5 linked regions of the Callithrix jacchus genome follow. The protein of the gene in region 1 purifies or fractionates together with the protein of each later gene. This does not show direct contact. Links are inferred from orthologs where the notes say so. Each region holds a gene or a part of one and is shown in the gene's direction. Other genes may lie near its edges. The genes, in order: CLK3, GPATCH8, FKBP5, PSME3IP1 and TNPO3.

Region 1 (3,516 bases):
TTTTTGGTGCCCTCTATCAATCGTCGTGAGGCTTGGGATGGGCCTGATTGTGAGCAGCATGGACGCCAAGGTCAGGGCAGGAGCTGACATGGGGCCTGTGTGGGCCATTGTGGTAGGAAGCCTGGCAGTCGACCTACCCAGAGGATCCCAGGCTGCTTTCCTGCTTGAGGCTGGTGGCAGGAAGGCTGCTGATGGAAGGTTGTTTCTGGTAGTGATGGTGAAGTCTGGCCAAGGATGCCGTCTGGGGGCAGGTAGCAGCTTGGCTCTGAGTGGCAACTGTCGGGTATGTGCAAGGCTGCGTGGGCGAACAGAGGCAGGCAAGGGCAGGCTGGGCATTCTGCAGCTGAAGCCGGAGCAGCCTCTGACCAGTCTGGATGGTTGGACCCAGGCAGGGCCAGCTGCCTTCTTGCGCCGTTCTCACTGTGTCTTCCGCTCTGGCCAAAGCCACATGGGAGGGCCTGGGAGGGAGAGACTCAGAGGAGGAGGAGGGAGTCGGGGCTATGGCTCTCCTCACAGCGCGGCCCTCAGCAGCAGAGGCAGGTCATCTTCCTGAGCGTTCGTGGCACTCCTCGTAGAGATAATATCCGAGTTTTCTTTACATACCTGTAGCTGTTTTTACTTTTCTGTTTTTGAAGTCAGCTTGTGTCTTGACGTGTCCCTTGCAATATCCCTATCGTTATATATGCTGTGTGCCTTATGAAATGCTGGGATCTGGAAAATCCAACCAACCAACCCACCGGCTCCTCACCGTCTCCACCTCTGCCTTTGACTGACACCTCAATCTGTCAATCGGAACCGCCTACCATGCGATTGGTCGGATGGCGTTTCGGGGGGCGGTGCATGCAGAGAAGCCAACAGAGCAGTAAGCGCAGCAGCCGGAGTGTGGAAGATGACAAGGAGGGTCACCTGGTGTGCCGGATCGGCGATTGGCTCCAAGAGCGATGTACAGCCACCTTTCGTAAAACTTTACCTCTCTACTTTCTACCCCCCTTGTTAGACGAGACCTCTCCTGCCTGGAGGGGCCTCTAGTGCGCGTGGTGCCTTAGCGGGGCCACCAGTAATTGCCTGAATGACACAGACGCTAGCAACTTCCATTTTTAAGAGTGTACCAGTGAGAGAGAAACCTTTTTTGTTTTTGAGAATTTGAATGCTGTGAACTTGCAGGAGCTGCCAACACCCTGCCCTCCAGATTCTCATGCCCAGTTTCTTTTCTCTCCTAGATGAGATTGTGGGGAACCTGGGTGAAGGCACCTTTGGCAAGGTGGTGGAGTGCTTGGACCATGCCAGGTGAGTGAACTGGGGCAGTACAGCTGGCTCTGGATGTGACCTTCCTGGGAAGAGCTGGCCTGAGGTTCTTCAGGGTGGTGGCTATCAGAGCTTAACTGTTTTCTTTCTGAAGCGTGGCACCAGAGTAGGGTTCTGACCTGTCCATGTTGGGGTTTTGCTGATCCCCTGTAATAAGGGAGAAATTCTTGGGTTCTGCAGGCATGTGGCATTCCTGCCTAAGAATTGCTGGTCAGTGAATGGTTCTGCTCCAATCCCTCCACTTCTCCAGGGCTCTGGTGGTGGTTATCAGGACAGGACCAAGGCCCTGGCTCCCCTGTGGCTTGGAGCTGCTTCCTGTGATAACTTTTAGGTTCTTGGCCTGGCAGGCGGCTAGGAGTGCCACTAAGCCCAGCCCAAGCATGAATCCCATCCCGAGGGTCTGCCTGAGAGGCTGTGCAGATCTGTTGAAAGAAACAAGACCCTGCGCTTTCTCACCAAGCAGGCTGCTGCCTTTTCCAGTGTGGCTGGGGTAGTGTGTGGTCTCCGCTGTGTGTGCCCGGAGAGGGGTATACACTGTCGTGCTGCTGGGGCACCTCACTCTCTCCCAGGTCCAGCAGCGCAATAGTTTTGTCCCCTTACCATTCCACAAGACTAGAACTTTCCCTTTTGCTTCCTCCCCTGTAGCTCTGGGGTGGGGAGGCCCCCTCTGGGGAGCCAGTTGCCTCCCTGCCATAGGCCCTTTAATTGGTTTGGCACTTTAGCTACAGAGTACCCGTGTCTTCATTGTAGCCACTTGCCACCCATATTTGGCCTTCCTGCTATTTCAGAGATGAATAAACATCCTCAGGGTTTGGCCGCATCATACTCCAATTAACGGCAGAGCTGGCCACTGCTGCCCCATAGTGCTCCCACATTAAATGGAGTGCTCAGGAAGGCCATTCAGACCCAGGCCTCCAGCCTTCCCCTCGGCCACGAGATAGACTGACAGGAAGCTTCCATTTGCTCCACGTTTCCATGTAAACAGCTGTATGACTCAGTGTGGCCCAAGAGGTTAGGGTTGGGACCAGCAGGTGGAGGGCCATGTGCAGCCACACCGTGGCCAGGTGGAGGCATGGCAGACTCAAGAGCTGGGATGTGTGCAGGTGGTCTGGGCTGCTCCTATCTGAGGAGCTGGAGGGAACATGAGCCTCTGGAGTCATGAGGGGGCAGGTGGAAGGTCCAGGGAACCTTTATGGGACTCAAAGGGAGCCAGGGCCAGTGGGGTTTGTCATGTGGAGGCAGAATTCAGCTCAGCTAAAGGCAGGGTCATATTCTCAGAGCCATGCATCTCTGGCAGGGGCTGCCTTGGAAGTGATGAGCTCCCTGTGCTGAGGATTGGAATGCCATGGAGGGACCTTGTTTTAGGAGGAGGCTGGAGTGCATGGCCTTTCCCTTGAGTTCCCTTCCTTCCCTGAGAATCTGGGAAAATGGGATAGGGAGAGAAAAGCAGGGGATTTTCTGGAAGGTCCCTTTGCTCTGGGCCTGTGAACCTTTTCTTAGGCAACACAGTCAGCCTCCCTGAGGCCTCAGAGGACACGCCCTTCCAGGCTAGGGCTGTCTCACTCCAGTTCTCCACTGGGCATCTGGATTCTAGCTGCCCTTTCCTGACAGGGCCTGGCAGCCTTGCCTCAGCAGGTTTCCTTCTCTGCTGGCTCTCCGCAGATGGTCTCCTGGGGCGGGGTTCGGGGTGGGAAGCACAGAGCAGGGACTTAAAATCTTCTTTGGACACTTAAGAAGGGTTCCTGGCATTTTTTGGTCACTGATAAACGCTGTGGCAGGTAGGTGCAACTGGAGAGGGGTATGATAAAGGGAATGGCCCTGGGCCTCACAGTGAGAGGTACCCTTGCTGGTACCCCTACCTCTTGCCAGATCTTTACTTGATCCTGGAACCCCCTATCCCTGTTTGCTCAGACTTGCAGACAAGCCCAGGAAGGTCAAGAGGTGCTGTAGGAGGGCTCTGGGGGGGACAGCTTGGCCACAGTTGGGGCTGTCTGGCCTACAGGTTAGGTCACTGTGTGAGTTCTTGGGCTGGCATTGGTTAAGCAGGACTGGCCTTTACTCTCCCACACTCCTTTGGGAGCTGGCAGTGGCTGAGAACATAAAAGCCTAAGGCTGGCATGGATATCAGGAGCATTAACTCACAGATGCCAGGGAATTTGCTGTTGGGTGGGCAAAGGTCTGGTGTTGCATGGTGCAGGCTGGGCATCAGTA
Region 2 (3,516 bases), on another chromosome or scaffold:
GAAATGGCATAGGGAGATTTTCCAGTCTTAGCAGGTAGCTAGAGAGAAGATGGCAGGCCGGGCATGGTGGCTCATGCCTGTAATCCCAGCACTTGGGGAAGCCAAGGTGGGCGGATCACTTGAGGTCAGAGACTACCCTGGCCAACAAGATGAAACCCTATCTCTACTAAAAATACAGAAAATCAGCCAGACATGGTGACAGGGACCTGTAGTCTCAGCTACTCAGGAGGCTGAGACAGAAGAATCGCTTGGACCCAGGAGGCGGAGGTTGCCTTGAGTTGAGAGGAGAGAGGGAGAAAATGGCAGATAGGAGAAGAAGATACATTCTATCTAAATCTTGGCTAGAAAACCTGTTATGTGGTTGGGGAAGAAAAAATTAGGTTTGTGGCCAAAGGTAATCATATAATAGGCCTGATAAGCCTTTTATTTCTGCCCATTCACCTCAGGAGAAGGAAATTGGAATTCATATTTATTTAAAATAGTTGATCCTTTATCTTGAAGTGACATTATAAAAATCTTAATTGTGGGCTAGGCGTGTTGGCTCATGCCTTTAATCCCAGCACTTTGGGAGGCCGAGGCATTTGAGATCACTTGAGGCCAGGAGTTTGAGACCACCCTGGCCACCGTGATGAAACTCCGTCTCTACTAAAAATACAAAAATGAGCCAGGCATGGGGGTGCACGCCTGTAATCCCAGCTACTTGGGAGGCTGAGGCATGAGAATTGCTTGAACCTGGGAGGTGCAGGATTATGTCACTGCACTCCAGCCTGGGCGACAGAGAGAGACTGTGTCTCAAAAAAAAAATCTTAATTATGGGCACTAATAGTTTTGCCAGCTGTTCATTGCTTCAACTTCCCCAAAATAAGGGCTAATGGAAACAAGACTGCTTTTTTATGCCACAATGGTCTTTTCCAAAGTTCTGGAACCATTTTTCTGAAAGAAATACAGGTAGTTTCATTTTTCTAGGTGGGATTACTATGTCAGTCTGTGTGTATGTACACATATATATGTTGTACAGGTGCTTCCCTTCTCCCCAGCCCTTTTAGAATTGATGGCTTTGTCCCTGATTGTTCAGTATAATAGTTTACAGATTCACTAAGAGAGCTTGTGTAGTAATGCTTGCTTTATTTTTTTTTTCTCTTCCACTCTTGTTTTATTTTTTACTTTTTTTTCTTTGTGATGTGACATTTTCAGCTGATGTATTGAAAGCAAATCCTTCTAATTTGGGAGCCCAGATCACAAGAGTGAGTTTTTCTACTAGTGTCTTTAGCTGTATATCTTTTATTGTGTGTGTCTTTCTACCCTTCCCCTCTTCCAATTTAAAAAGATTCAAAACACATTTCATAAATATTAGGTAAGAAAATTCCTCTGTCTGTTAAACATCATGCCTTTCCACAAAGCAATGTCCACTTTATACTGGGTCAAATTCCTTTTCCCAATGCTGTTGTAAAAGCATAGGCTAATGTATATGTTTCGTTTTGTTTGTTTCTTGTGTTATCTAATGTCTTGAAAATAATTTTAGTTGTGTCTTCATTGCAGATAGATATGTCTGGGTTCTGTCACCAGTGTGTCATAACACTGTTCTTTTTTGGTTATAGTTTGTTTTGTTTTAAGGAAAATTATACAGTAGCTTCTGAAAATAAAAGACCCATTCTGTTATCTGGATTTTAAGTAAAATCTTTGACTTATCTCTGCTCTCCCTCCTCATCCCCTGGATATTCCTCTCAGGGCCATGAAGGAATGCAAAGCCTCACATACTACTTTCAGCAGGCTGACCAGATAAAAGTGGTCAGACTGGTGAGCTCTAAACATGCTAGCACTGGAAGACCTCTCTTGGAGAGGGAGACCTCTCTTGGGTTTATTCAGTAGTTACAGGAAACCTCTATTCATGCTGAAAAAAAATAACAACACCTTTTTATGGTGAAATAAAAGTATGCTTTCTATTTGTTCTAATTTTAATAACCCCCCCCATGTAAGCTGTACATTGCTTTTCAAGATCTTACACCTGGGTAATTTTCTGTACTAGCCTAACCCCTTTCTGTTCTCTTTGGCTTGTGATATTGCAATTTATCTCATGTTCTGTTTGTCTAGTTTTGCATCCTGGAGGAGCAGGTGATTAAATAGTCCCTTTTCTTTCCTCCCAGTGTTCTAAAATTTCCTTGTTGCATTTGAGATCATTTTATTTCGCCTAATAAAGCAAATGATGCGTTGTCCTAATTAGAAATGCAGATACTGCAAGTGCTATACCCAAAGTAATCAGCCATTGTGTTTTCAATTGCCATAAGAGAATATGATAATGTATTCTACACTAATACTGTAACTATTGGTTGAGGGTCGTGTCCTAAGGCTTTGCTTTCAGGTTCCTAAGTTACTCTAAATCATCCACCCTCTATATCTTTCTTTATTTTAACCCAGAGATTAAAAGATCTCAAGCAGAGAGAGTTTGCTCGAAATGTCTCTTCAAGATCCCGCAAGGATGAGAAAAAACAGGAAAAAGCCCTTCGGCGGCTCCATGAGCTGGCAGAGCAAAGAAAACAAGCTGAATGGTGAGTATATTTTTTCTCAGAGGGTTGTACAGATAAATATAATCCTTAAAATTTTATAGATTTAAGATTAAATTTAATGATTAAATTAAGATTTAAGAATTATAAACCTTGAATTTTTTTAATTGACAAATAATAATTGTACATATTCACGGGTTATGTAGTAATGCTTCAGTACATATAATGTATAGTGATCAGATCAGGGTAATTACCATATCCATCACCTCAAACATTTATCATTTCTTTGTGCAGGACATTTAATATCCTCTTTCTAACTATTTGAAACTACATAGTATTGTCTGTTTGGGTTTGTTTTTGTTTTGTTTTGAGACGGAGTTTCGCTGTTGTTACCAAGACTGGAGTGCAGTGGCACGATCTCGGCTCACCGCAACCTCCGCCTTCTGGGTTCAAGCAATTCTCCTGCCTCAGCCTCCCAAGTAGCTGGGACTACAGGCACACACCACCATGCCCAGCTAATTTTTGTACTTCTAGTAGAGACAGGGTTTCACCTCGTTGACCAGGATAGTCTCGATCTCTTGACCTCGTGATCCACTCACCTCGGCCTCCCGGAGTGCTGGGATTATAGGCGTGAGCCACCGCGCCCGGCCTGTTTTTTGTTTTTTTGAGACAGTCTCACTGTGTCTCCCAGGCTGGAGTGAAATGGCACGATCTCAGCTCACTGCAGCCTCTGCCTCCCGAGTTCAAGCAGTTCTCCTTTCTCAACCTCCCAAGTAGCTGGGATTACAGGTGCACACCGCCATATCTGGCTCATTTTTGTATTTTTAGTAGAGACAGGGTTTCACCATATTAGTCAGGGTGGTCTCGAATTCCTGACTTCTTGATCCACACTCCTCAGCCTCCCAAAGTACTGGGATTACAGGCGTGAGCCACCACCCTCTGGCCAAAACTACATAGTATTGTTAACTCTAGTCATCCTACAGTGGTCTAGAACACTGGAACTTACTCTTCCTAG
Region 3 (4,073 bases), on another chromosome or scaffold:
TCAGGATGGTTAGTTTCTTGGTCAAAATCACAACTGGGAGTACAAATTTTGAATGTAAAGCCACTATTTTGGGGTTATTTTGGTGTTTGTATGTATATATACGTGTGTTTTTTTAAACAAAATCATCAAGTTCAGCAACCATGTGTCCTAAATTATCTAGGATGGTCAAATTTCTTTTTACTTTTTTTTTGAGACCAAGTCTCGCTCTGTCACCGAGGCCGGAGTGCAATGGTGCGATCTCAGCTCACTGCTTCCTCCTACGCCTCCTGGGTTTAAGCGATTCTCCTGTCACAGCCTCCCGAGTAGTTGGGATTACAGGCACCTACCACCACGCCCAGCTAATTTTTGTATTTTTAGTAGGGACAGGGTTTTGCCATGTTAGTCAAGCTGGTCTCCAACTCCTGACCTCAGGGGAATCTGCCCACCTCAGCCTCCCAAAGTGCTGGGATTACAGGCATGAGCCACCGTGCCTGGCCCAGATATCAAATTTCTAAAATTCTTTTTTTTTTTTTTTTCTGTTTTTGATAGAGTCTTGCTCTGTTGCCCAGGCTAGAGTACAGTGGCATGATTTCGGCTCACTGCAACCTCCACCTTCTGGGTTCAAGCAATTTTCCTGCCTCAGCCTCCCAAGTAGCTGAGAGTACAGGTGCCTGCCACCACACCTGGCTAATTTTTGTATTTTTAGTAGAGACAGGGTTTCAACATGTTGGCTATGCTGGTCTCGAACTCCTGACCTCAGGTGATCCACCCGCCTCGGCCTCCCAAAGTGCTGGGATTACAGGAAGGAGCCAGCATGCCTGGCCCTAAAATTCTTATTGTCTCCTGGACAGTCATCTTGGACATGCTCTGTGTTCTATATCATGACTTCAAGCCTTGTCTTTGTCAGGTACTGCCAGTGAGATCCTAGACTAGCACTTCACCACTTTAAGCCTCAGTTTCCTCCTTTATAAATAGGGAGGAATTGTAATCATTCCACTATCACAGGTTTGCTGGGAGGATTAAATGAGAACATCCACATCAGAGTCAGCACAGTGCCTGGAACGGGGTACCTGTGAAATGAATGGTGATTCTTCTTTATTGTTACCTTGGAAAATGGAGGCCAACTGCAGGATGATCCTGGCTCCAAGGAGCCGGGGACCCAAGACAAGCATACAGAAAGAGAGACCAACAATTGGAGGCCTCTGATGCATAAGACAGGCAGGGGAGTGGTGGGAGGAGAGAGCAAGACTGAGCAGCCAGGAGGGCCTCTTCCCTTCCCTTTACTCAGCCTCTCACTCCTCTGCTAGGATCCCATATTGACACATCTTGTACTTCCCGTTTCCAGGGAAATTCCTCGCTGCCGGACTGCACCCACCCCTGAGGACCTCCCAATATCTTTGGGCAGAGCAGAAGCCAGACAGAGACAAGGACTACCAAGCAACCATCTCCAGCCCCGTGTGTGCAAGGAGCCCTGAGGGGCAGGCGGCCACGCTGCAGAAGACTAGCCTCTCCAACCCCAGGGAGCCTGGCGTGGGCTGCAGGAACAGAACGCTTCTCAGAGGAGGTAGGGACCCCATGGAGTACGTGACGTGACGCCTGGCCCTCCAGCTGCATGCTCCAGTTAGCAGGACAGAGACCCCTCCCCACACATTCCCAGCCTTCCCTGGTTTCCTGCTCTGCTACTGGGAGGCCCTGTCACCACACATGCGCGTGCATGCGCTAACACATACACCCCTCCCAGGCACCCCCGGAAGACCAGCTGCAGCTGGGGGTGGGGGGGGGTGCACTGAGCACAGCCAGGGTTCTCAGATCCCTAGCCTGCTCTCCCACCCCACCCTAGCCCCCAATTGCCGAGCTGCTTCTAGGTTTAAAGCAAAACACGACTCTGTCCTTCCTGCTGCTCAGTGGCAGCAACACTGCCTGGAGTTATTTTTAGCAGGGATGCAGGGAAGGCACAGTTCTCCTTGACTTTAACTAGGGACAACCCCCACCCCCCAGCCAAGACTCACTGGAGGAGGCCAGTACGGAAACTCCCCTCCCAGAAAGGGGAAATGGTGTGTTTTCTGTTCCTTCAATTCACTAGAATGGGAATCGTGGTCAAGCCTGGTGTTGAACTGATGGGAAATTCTAGGTTCCAAAGCCCATGGGCTCTGCCCCATCCTTGGCCTCTATGTTTCCATGAATCCGGGAAGCGAGAGGCACATGGTGTCTGGAGTTGAGGTGCCCTGTCTGTGGGTGCTGGGGTCCCTGGGAAACTGCTTGGTTATATCCAAGCTCTGTGGATTACACAGGGGCACCAGGTATCGTGGGTGGTGTTTCACAGGCGCTGGCTAAATAATTCATTAAACTGAACATGTATGTTTCATGTACTTTTCCATATGTGTATCTTTTAGATGCTAGCAGTACTTTATGAGGTATAATCAACATACATTCCACATACAGTAAAATGCATAAATCTTAAGTGTACAGCTTGATGAATTTTGACAAATATATATGCCTATGTAACCATCACCTAGATCAAGATTTCAGACATTTTCACTACCTCCAAATGCCTTTGTGTCCCCTTCCAGTCAGTCTCCGCCCCAGAGGCAACTGATTCCGACTTCTACCACCATAGATCGTGTGTGTGTTTCACAAAGTTAAAGAAATACAGCTGCTGTCACGGAAGAGGGAAATGAGCAATAAAGTTCTTAACATGAAAGGAGGGGGCCTCAAAAAAAGGGGTTATTGCAACTGGAAAAATGAAGGTATCATTGGCCTGGGAAACAGGAGGTTTCAGAGCCAGCCCAACCCCTCAGGGTTGGGACCAGAAGGCTTGGGACACTTCTTGAAGCAGAGAAGCTGTGAGTGGGGAGGGAGCAAGGGGAGGGCCAGTCTTGGCTCAGGCCTAGCTGCCTCTGGGTCTGCTAGAGGTCCCTGCCCCTCCTCCAGGCCCTGACCACTGCACAGTTTCAGCAAGGCCAAGGCTGCAAGGAAAGGTTCTCTCAGGGGCATCCACCCAGAGGCAGAGTTTAGGGCCCCCATGTAGTTAAGTTATTTGTTTTCCTTGACTTCCTTTTCAAGGTCTGGGACTCCTGCATCCTTTGTCCTGCCTGGGGCGGGGAGAGGCTGAGGCTGTCAAAGCAGAGTGCTAAGGAAGAGTCATGATGCTTTTCATTCTTTCCTTCCTTTCTTCATTCAAAAACAGTTATTTGAGCACCCGTGTAGTGCTATAGATTCTGCCGGGTGCTGGGCATAGGAGAATAAGCCACATTTTAGCTTAGAGAGTCAGAGTTGGCATTTCTAGGTAGAAGCAAGGCCTTATACCTCCTTCATATTGGAGATGAGGGGCCCAGAGAGGGGAAGTGACTTATTAGAATCACACAGCTAGCTGCTGGCAGAGGAAGGCCAAGAACAAGGATCGATCCCTGATTGAGACTTAGCTGGGGATAAGAAAGCAAAGGAAACCAAACCAACAGCTGACTCCCTGGTGTGCTCTCCTGTAAGCTTTCTAGGGTAACAAAAAGCACTGACCTGGAGTGAGAGGACCTCAAGGCTACTGCTAGGTCTTAGAAACACTTCCTCTCTCTGGGCCTCAGCTTTATTCCATGAACATGCAGGAGGCAGCTTCTGGAGCACACCCTCCATTTTCCCGCCTCTGTGCCTTTGCTCGGGTTGTTTCTGCCGCCTAGAATGCCCCCTTTCCCCTCCTACTTCCTTCCTCTGACATTCTCCTAATCATTTATGACCTAATTCAAATGCTGTCCCCAGAGGCCCCGCAGTCCTTGGGCATCTGGAGAGTGGTGTCACCCAGGTCCCCACTACCAGAACAGACAGAGCCTCCTCCATTTTGCAATCCTCCCATCCTAGGGCACAGCTTTCCTTGGATATGGGGTCTGTTTTGTCAGCCACTGTTGGAGGAATTGAAGGGATTTCTTAGTCCCACCCTACACTTCCACATGCCCCCTTAGCTTTCAGAGACTGATGTCGTCCTTCCACTGGGCCTTGAAGACATTGTGCTTTCTGCTGGCCATGCCAGCCCAGGCCAGAGCATCAAACCTGGGCACTTCTGGCCAAGGTGGCTGCCCTGGGAGGTGACCCCAGGAAGGATGAGA
Region 4 (3,516 bases), on another chromosome or scaffold:
TTTAGTTGTTGGTTGTTTTTTTAACAGATTTGGAAGAACTCCTAGTATCTTAAGGAAAGTTGCTTTTGTGATATTTGTTGCAAGTATTTGCTCTTGCCTTTTTTTGTAGCCTTGTTCTCACTATCTCTGCAGTCATTATCAGCTTTCATTTTACTTTTCTCCATCTTTGTGTTTTAACATTGCTTATCTGTAGCAGCTCCCTTTTCCCTTCTTAGAGTTTCTTGCACAAACAAGTAAATACACTGATCTCTTGAACTTTGTGTGCTGGCCGTTTGATATCTCTTCTAACTGCTCAGTGGTATTGTTTGCTTACTCCTGGTTGTCTATACTTGGAGCTGTGTATTCTTTTCATATTTACTTGAAATGTCTGAGTAAATGAGGCGCTCGCGCATCTAAGGCATAACCCTAAAAGATGTATGCTTGTTAGCCTGTGGCGATGAACTGTGAACTCCAACCCTTACTCTGCAATGAGCTCAGATGATCATTTTAGTATGTTATCTTTTAATTCACATTTAGTTTAACATTTTGTGCCCTAAGCAACCTACAACCTTGCCAAGTGATTTGACTTTCCTCATCAGTAAGATGGGGATGATGCCTATACATCAAATTGTAGTGATTAAATAAGGCTGGAAACATTTCAGGGAAAAAGCAAAGGGCTGGAGTAGAATTCTTAACTTTCCCTTTCGTCTTCAAGTCGTCCATTTTCTTTCTTCTTTTTTTTTTTTTTTCTTGAAACCGGGTCTTGCTCTGTTGTCCAGGCTGGAGTACACTGGTGCCATGATAGTTCACTGTAACCTTGAATTCCTGGGCTTAAGCAATCCTTGCCTCAGCCTTATGAGTAACTGGGACCACAGGCCCAACCATCACACCCAACTAATTTTTTTTTTTTTTTTGAGATGGAGTCTTGCTCTGTTACCCAGGTTGGAGTGCAGTGGCATGATCTTGGCTCACTGCAACCACTGCCTCCTGGATTCAAACTATTTTCCTCCCTCACTCTCCCTAGTAATTGGGATTACAGGCATGCATCACCACGCCCATTTTTTTGTTCTTTTAGTAGAGATGGGGTTTCACTATATTGGGCAGGCTGATCTTGAACTCCTGACCTCAAGTCATCCACCCACCTCGGCCTCAAAGTGCTGGGATTACAGGCATGAGCCACCGTGCTCGGCACCGACTAATTTTTTAAAACATTTTCTTGTAGAGACAGGGACTCACTATGTTGCCCAGGCTGGTCTTAAACTCCGGACCTCAAGTGGTCCTCCCATCTCAGCCTCCCAAAGTGCTAGGATTGTAGGCATGAGCCACCGTGCCGAACCAAGTCCTGCATTGTCTAGATTGAGGTCTTTGTCATTGAGATGGCAGAACAACTGTGGGGTTCCTGTAAGACAAAGAGTCTTAGCTTCTAGGTGACATTCTGCATGGCCTTAAAATGTTACCTGACAGGCTTCAGTTTTCTCATCTGTAAAATAACACAACTGGAAAGCAAAGGTTGTGTTAAGTCAGTTTCTGAATCACTCCTCTCTCCCATCAGGGAAAAGTGGCCCTTAATACAGAGCATTATTCTGGTGAGTCCCTCGGAGCCTATTCCAGTCGTGGGGGCTGCCCAATTTTTTAACATTTTTTAAAAGAAAATGTTATCATGTAGCTGATGTTTGGCCTTGAAAATGTATCTGTGCTTGCTGGCATATTGGTCAGTAAGTAAGAAATGGCATAATATGCTGAGAAGTTAATGGAATTGTTAATACTGCTCACAGTGTCTCTCTTAATCTGTCTTCATCCCTACTGTTGAGGGCATGTGGAAGCCTTTCATCCCCCACCCACGTGTCCATTTCACAGCTGTGTGAGCACAGGGAAATCAAAGCACTCTAGGTTACACTCTGAAGTAGCTAGTTCTGCAACTCAGAGCTGATGGAGAACAACAGAGTATAGTCAGGCTCTGGGGTTAAAAAGACCTTGATTCAAGTCTCAGCTCTGCCCCTTTACTTTCAGAAGTCCTTTCACCTCCTGGAGCCTCCCTTCCTTCTTTAGTTTCCCCGTCTCTAAATCGAGGGCAATGATAGTATTGGCTGCATAGAGTTGTTCTGAGGCTTCTCTGTGGGAAAAGCCCTTGGTACAATGCCTGGCACATGGTATGTCAGTCGTCAACTTTGGAAAACAGTGATGAAGTGACAGTCTTTCCCCTTTTGTTGCAGAGGCCTCATCCTGCAAGTCTCTCGGAAACACTTCCCTGAGTGGCCCCTCCATCCACTGCCCCTCTGCTGCAGTCTGTATCGGCATCCTCCCAGGCCTGGGTGCCTACTCTGGGAGCAGCGACTCCGAGTCCAGCTCAGACAGCGAAGGCACCATCAATGCCACTGGAAAGATCGTCTCTTCTATCTTCCGAACCAACACCTTCCTCGAAGCCCCCTAGTTTCTCTGTGCTTACGCTGGAAACTCCTCCCCAAGGGTAGATCGGACCGTTTATGCCACCTACAGACATTATGTCCCTCAAAAAAAAACTCCTTTGCCTGTGTCCTGTGCACAACGTGACATTTTTAACCAACCCAATCTAAAGATGTGCCAGAATCTACCTGTGGCCCAAATCGTGTTTGGTTTCTCTTTCCACTCCAGTGCAGATGACCAAACCTGTCCCGCTGCCACTTCCTCACTGACGTGGGGAGGAGGGCAAGGCCCAGCCGAAGTTCCACTAAAAATGCCCTAGGAGGATAGGCACCGGCTGGCTTGCCAAAAGGTTCAGGTTTTATTGCTTTCTGTTTTTTTCTTTTCTTTCCTTTCCCAACAGCACAAAAAAGTAAGGGCAGTTATTGGACAGGTATTATTTAAACATTCTATTGTAGGTGAGTGTGCTGTTTGGTTCCACTGCATTGTAGAGCATGCGGGGGAAGAGAACTGACCCAGGTGAAGAAATGGAGCCCTTCCCTCGAACTAACCAGTCCTTAATGTTGTGTGACTAAGTAGAGATGCTAAACCGCATCCGCTGGGGGTGTCGCTTCACACTCGGCATGCATTGTGAAGGCTTTCCACCCTTGGCCATTCCGTTTCCCCTCTCTCCAACCCCATTTATGCAGGAAGGGACTGCTAACAAGAAAACTTCCATCTTCTCAGACCTTTTCTCTGCCTCAGAAATTATTTTATGTTTGTTTTTGAAATAAAGGATTTAGTTTGAGATTCAAAATCTTAGAGAAACGTAGGCCTTGTTTACTCATAGCCAGACATCAGAACTGTGGGTAGGTATGTTAATGAGATGACTTATTTCCGGCAGCTCCTGGAATCCAAATATTGTAAACTAGTGGAACATACTTGCATTTTATGACTGTTCTATCGAGGCCCTTCTCTGTTTAATGCATATTATATTTGTGCTTTTAACTGTGGAATCTATTTCTAACTTAAGGGTGCTGCCCTAGTACTTTTCTTTGCTGCCCCTGCTGCTCTTTTTCCTTTCCAGACAGCAACTCTTGAGGCCATGAGCAGCCAAAAACTAGTGGTGCTCCTCTATCTTGTCTCATAAAGGGAAAT
Region 5 (3,516 bases), on another chromosome or scaffold:
TAAACAACAAGAAGGCAGTATTTGGTGTTCTCATTTGTTTTTGAGACAGAGTCTTGCTCTGTCACCTAGGCAGAGTACAGTGATGTGATCATGGCTCACTGCAGGCTCTGCCTCTCAGGCTCAAGGGATCCTCAGCCTACTGAGTAGCTAGGACTACAGGCATTCACCACCATGCCTGGCTAGTTTTTATATTTTTTGTAGAGATGGCATTTCACTATGTTGCCCAGGTTGGTCTTGAACTCCTGGCCTAAAGTGATCCTCCCACCTTGGCCTCCAGTATTTGATTATCAGATGAGTGATCAAAGTCATGATTGCTATGAGATTAGACAAGGGAAAGCTCTAGACAGAAGAGAGTTGGAATAACTTTCTGAAAGGGGACGGATTTAAATGGAGCCATGAGATAGAGGTAGAATTTGGTTGGATTCGAGAGAGTTAGTCTAACTGCCTTTAAACTAGGATCAGAGCAATTCAGAATAGTACTAAGTTTGTTAGTAGACAGCTAAGCAATGGGACTAGTAAAGTGGCTCACAGGAATTTTGAAGGTAGGTTTGGTTAGATGTGGAGTAAAATTGTAGATAAGGAAGAACAGGGAAGAAGTACGTATTCACTTCTGCATTCTATTCAGGCTGTTCATTTAAGAAGTTTGGCAGTAAAAGAGAAAATTACTAGAAGGGAAAGGTAATTTAAAAATATATTTTTCTCAAGGTATTAGAAATATGTATGTGTATGTTTAAAGACCACAAGAAGGAACGGTGCGGTGGCTTATGCCTGTAATTCCATCGCTTTGGGAGGCCGAGATGGGCAGATCACTTGAGGTCAGGAGTTCGAGACCAGCCTGGCCGACATGATGAAACCAGTCTCTACTGAAAATACAAAAATTAGCTGAGCATGGTAGCGCATGCCTATAATCCCAACTACTAGGGAGGCTGAGGCAGGAGAATTGCTTGAACCTAGGGGGCAGAGGTTTTGCTTAGCTGAGATCATGTCACTGCACTCCAGCCTAGGCAACAGAGCAAGACTCTGTCAAAAAAAAAAAAAAAATTAAAGACCACATAGAGGGCCAGGCGCGGTGGCTCATACTTGTAATCCCAGCACTTTGGGAGGCTGAGGCAGGCGGATCATGATGTCAAGAGATCGAGACCATCCTGACCAGCGTGGTGAAACCCAGTCTCTACTAAAAAATACAAAAATTAGCTGGGCGTAGTGGCATGCACCTGTAGTCCCAGCTACTTGGGAGGCTGAGGCAGGAGAATTGCCTGAACCCCAGGAGGTGGAGGTTGCAGTGAGCTAGGATCTGCACGCCAGCCTGGTGCCTGGTGACAGAGCAAGACTCTGTCTCCAAAAAAAAAAGACCACATAAAGAAAGAAAATAAGGGTTTTTTTAACAGGAAAAAATTCAGAATCTGATAGACATCTTCAATTCTTATTTCAGTTGGTTTTGTTTTGTTTTGTTGTGAGATGGGGATCTGGTTGTGTTACCCAGACTGTAGTGGCCATTCACAGGTGAGATCCCACTGCAGATCAGAATGGAATTTTGACCCACTCTGTTTCTGACTTGGGCTATTCACCTCTCCCTCCTTAGGCAACCCAGGAGTGGGGATCACAATATTAATACTGAATTTAGTGCAGGCACCAGCCCAGAACACCTGGGTTCAAGCTGTCCTCCTGTCCCTCCTTTGGAGTGGCTGGGACTATGGTGTATGCTGCTGTGCCAGGCCGACTTGGTTTTTAAACAAGAAAATAGGAACGCAAGTTATTTTTCACATTAAAAATATTTAATTGAAGATGAGGGAAAAAAAGTTTTTAAATTGCTAACTTAATTCTGAACAGTATTTTCTTTTCTGCCTTAAAATCATGAAAAATCTAAGCATTAATCTCTGTTGAAACCCATGCTCATTCCTCGATACTAATAAACTCTTTAATTTTCTTTTTGAAGGTGAAACACTTTGTGAACTTTGTGAATCCAGCTGTTATTTTACACACACGTGCACACACATACACATACTTTCTTCCCTATTAAAGATAAATTACTAGGCTAAAGGGGGAATAGTGCTTGGTCTTTGGAATGTTGAGACTAGAATTTATCTGATGTTCCTGCTTTCCTATATACAGCATGAAGAAGACTTTGAATTACGGAAGGAACTGATTGGACAGGTGATGAGCCAGCTTGGACAGCAGCTTGTCAGCCAGCTGCTACATACCTGCTGCTTTTGTCTCCCCCCCTATACCCTGCCAGATGTGGCTGAAGTGCTCTGGGAGATCATGCAGGTTGATAGACCGGTAAGATGTTTTCATAAGGAATTTATCTCATAGTTACTAAATGTAATAGGCTTTGGTTCCTTAAGGCCAACCCTAATTTTGAAACTAGCCCTGTTCTGTGTCCGTGGAGCCAAATTTAGGCGTATTGCCAAGTTAGATTAGTAGATGAAGAGGCTCACAGAAGGTCAGTAATTTATTATTGAGTCCTTTAAAGCATGTTTATATGTCACTGTCATAGAATTTGTATTACCAAAAATAAGTATCAAGCATTGAATTCAGTCGTGTGGCTGTCCAATGTGAAATATGTTCACTTGTGAGAGATGCCCAAATGTCAGTCATATTAGTTATGTATTATTCAGGAAGTATTTCATCCTGTCAGACCTCTTCTATAGCACTGTATTATTTCTTGGTGATACATCTAACCAGAACATTTGGAAGCACATAAATGTAAACGTAACCCACAATGTAGACTTGGATATATTTCCCCTTTGGATTTCTTTGAACCAGATTCTTAATCACCTAAGGATGGAATTGTTTTTTTAAAGCTATCTGATAATGCCCAAATATTTTCAGTACTAGGTCACATGACCATAACTCAGTTTATGTGTGCTGTGTGAAAGTTGAGCAGAATGGTAAAATGTAATATAATCTGAAATTATTTTTAAAATTGAATTTATAATTTTTAATATTACTATAAAAGCAGTTTAGGAAAGTACTCAATAGGACCTAAAGTGAGCTATCTTACAGAACAACAGAATATAAAATGGATAATAATAATATAGATAGTACCTATTCCTTGCTGGTTCAATACTCATGTTCCATTTCAACTTAATAGAGCAGCATATTTGGTTTTCTAAAGAAAAGTACTTTTTGAGCCTCCAGGAATCAGCAAATTTAATTCCAAAAGTCCTTGACCTGAGGGAAAAAGTCTCCATACTCTGCTTAAACTTTTTTACAAATATACTTGATTCCCAAGTAATAGAAAACTTAAATAAATCTAACTTTATAAAAACATTCTTGAGTGTAAACAAATTGTTAAGTGCTAACAAAAACAAACAAAAGATGAGAACAAGAAGTTTGGACAGGAACAGAAACCAGGTAGCCATGTACTCTTAGGAGTGTACTATATATATACCTGCCGGGCACAGTGGCTTATGCCTGTCTTCCCAACACTTTGGGAGACCAGGGCAGGAGGATCACTTGAGGCCAGGAGTTTGAAACCAGCCTCGGCAACAAAGGGAGACCCCACCCCTACAA

The links.
Region 2: the proteins of CLK3 (region 1) and GPATCH8 purify together in Homo sapiens (affinity purification with mass spectrometry; 3 studies listed by BioGRID and IntAct, counting the BioPlex papers as one, with this or other methods). This does not show direct contact. The link is inferred for Callithrix jacchus from reciprocal best matches to the Homo sapiens genes CLK3 and GPATCH8.
Region 3: the proteins of CLK3 (region 1) and FKBP5 purify together in Homo sapiens (affinity purification with mass spectrometry; 3 studies listed by BioGRID and IntAct, counting the BioPlex papers as one, with this or other methods). This does not show direct contact. The link is inferred for Callithrix jacchus from reciprocal best matches to the Homo sapiens genes CLK3 and FKBP5.
Region 4: the proteins of CLK3 (region 1) and PSME3IP1 purify together in Homo sapiens (affinity purification with mass spectrometry; 3 studies listed by BioGRID and IntAct, counting the BioPlex papers as one, with this or other methods). This does not show direct contact. The link is inferred for Callithrix jacchus from reciprocal best matches to the Homo sapiens genes CLK3 and PSME3IP1.
Region 5: the proteins of CLK3 (region 1) and TNPO3 purify together in Homo sapiens (affinity purification with mass spectrometry; 4 studies listed by BioGRID and IntAct, counting the BioPlex papers as one, with this or other methods). This does not show direct contact. The link is inferred for Callithrix jacchus from reciprocal best matches to the Homo sapiens genes CLK3 and TNPO3.

The regions. Positions count from the first base shown.
Region 1 is NC_133509.1:21,636,352-21,639,867, reverse strand, and holds part of CLK3 (dual specificity protein kinase CLK3), read left to right. Parts: intron 1-846; coding exon 847-943; intron 944-1,220; coding exon 1,221-1,287; intron 1,288-3,516. UniProt on the Homo sapiens protein: Dual specificity kinase acting on both serine/threonine and tyrosine-containing substrates. Phosphorylates serine- and arginine-rich (SR) proteins of the spliceosomal complex.
Region 2 is NC_133506.1:71,246,327-71,249,842, reverse strand, and holds part of GPATCH8 (G patch domain-containing protein 8), read left to right. Parts: intron 1-1,194; coding exon 1,195-1,244; intron 1,245-2,415; coding exon 2,416-2,546; intron 2,547-3,516.
Region 3 is NC_133505.1:44,022,146-44,026,218, reverse strand, and holds the start of FKBP5 (peptidyl-prolyl cis-trans isomerase FKBP5), read left to right. Parts: upstream 1-1,273; 5' UTR 1,274-1,543; intron 1,544-4,073. UniProt on the Homo sapiens protein: Immunophilin protein with PPIase and co-chaperone activities. Component of unligated steroid receptors heterocomplexes through interaction with heat-shock protein 90 (HSP90).
Region 4 is NC_133521.1:15,028,990-15,032,505, reverse strand, and holds part of PSME3IP1 (PSME3-interacting protein), read left to right. Parts: intron 1-2,192; coding exon 2,193-2,410; 3' UTR 2,411-3,516. UniProt on the Homo sapiens protein: Promotes the association of the proteasome activator complex subunit PSME3 with the 20S proteasome and regulates its activity.
Region 5 is NC_133512.1:118,217,790-118,221,305, forward strand, and holds part of TNPO3 (transportin-3), read left to right. Parts: intron 1-2,112; coding exon 2,113-2,280; intron 2,281-3,516. UniProt on the Homo sapiens protein: Importin, which transports target proteins into the nucleus. Specifically mediates the nuclear import of splicing factor serine/arginine (SR) proteins, such as RBM4, SFRS1 and SFRS2, by recognizing phosphorylated SR domains.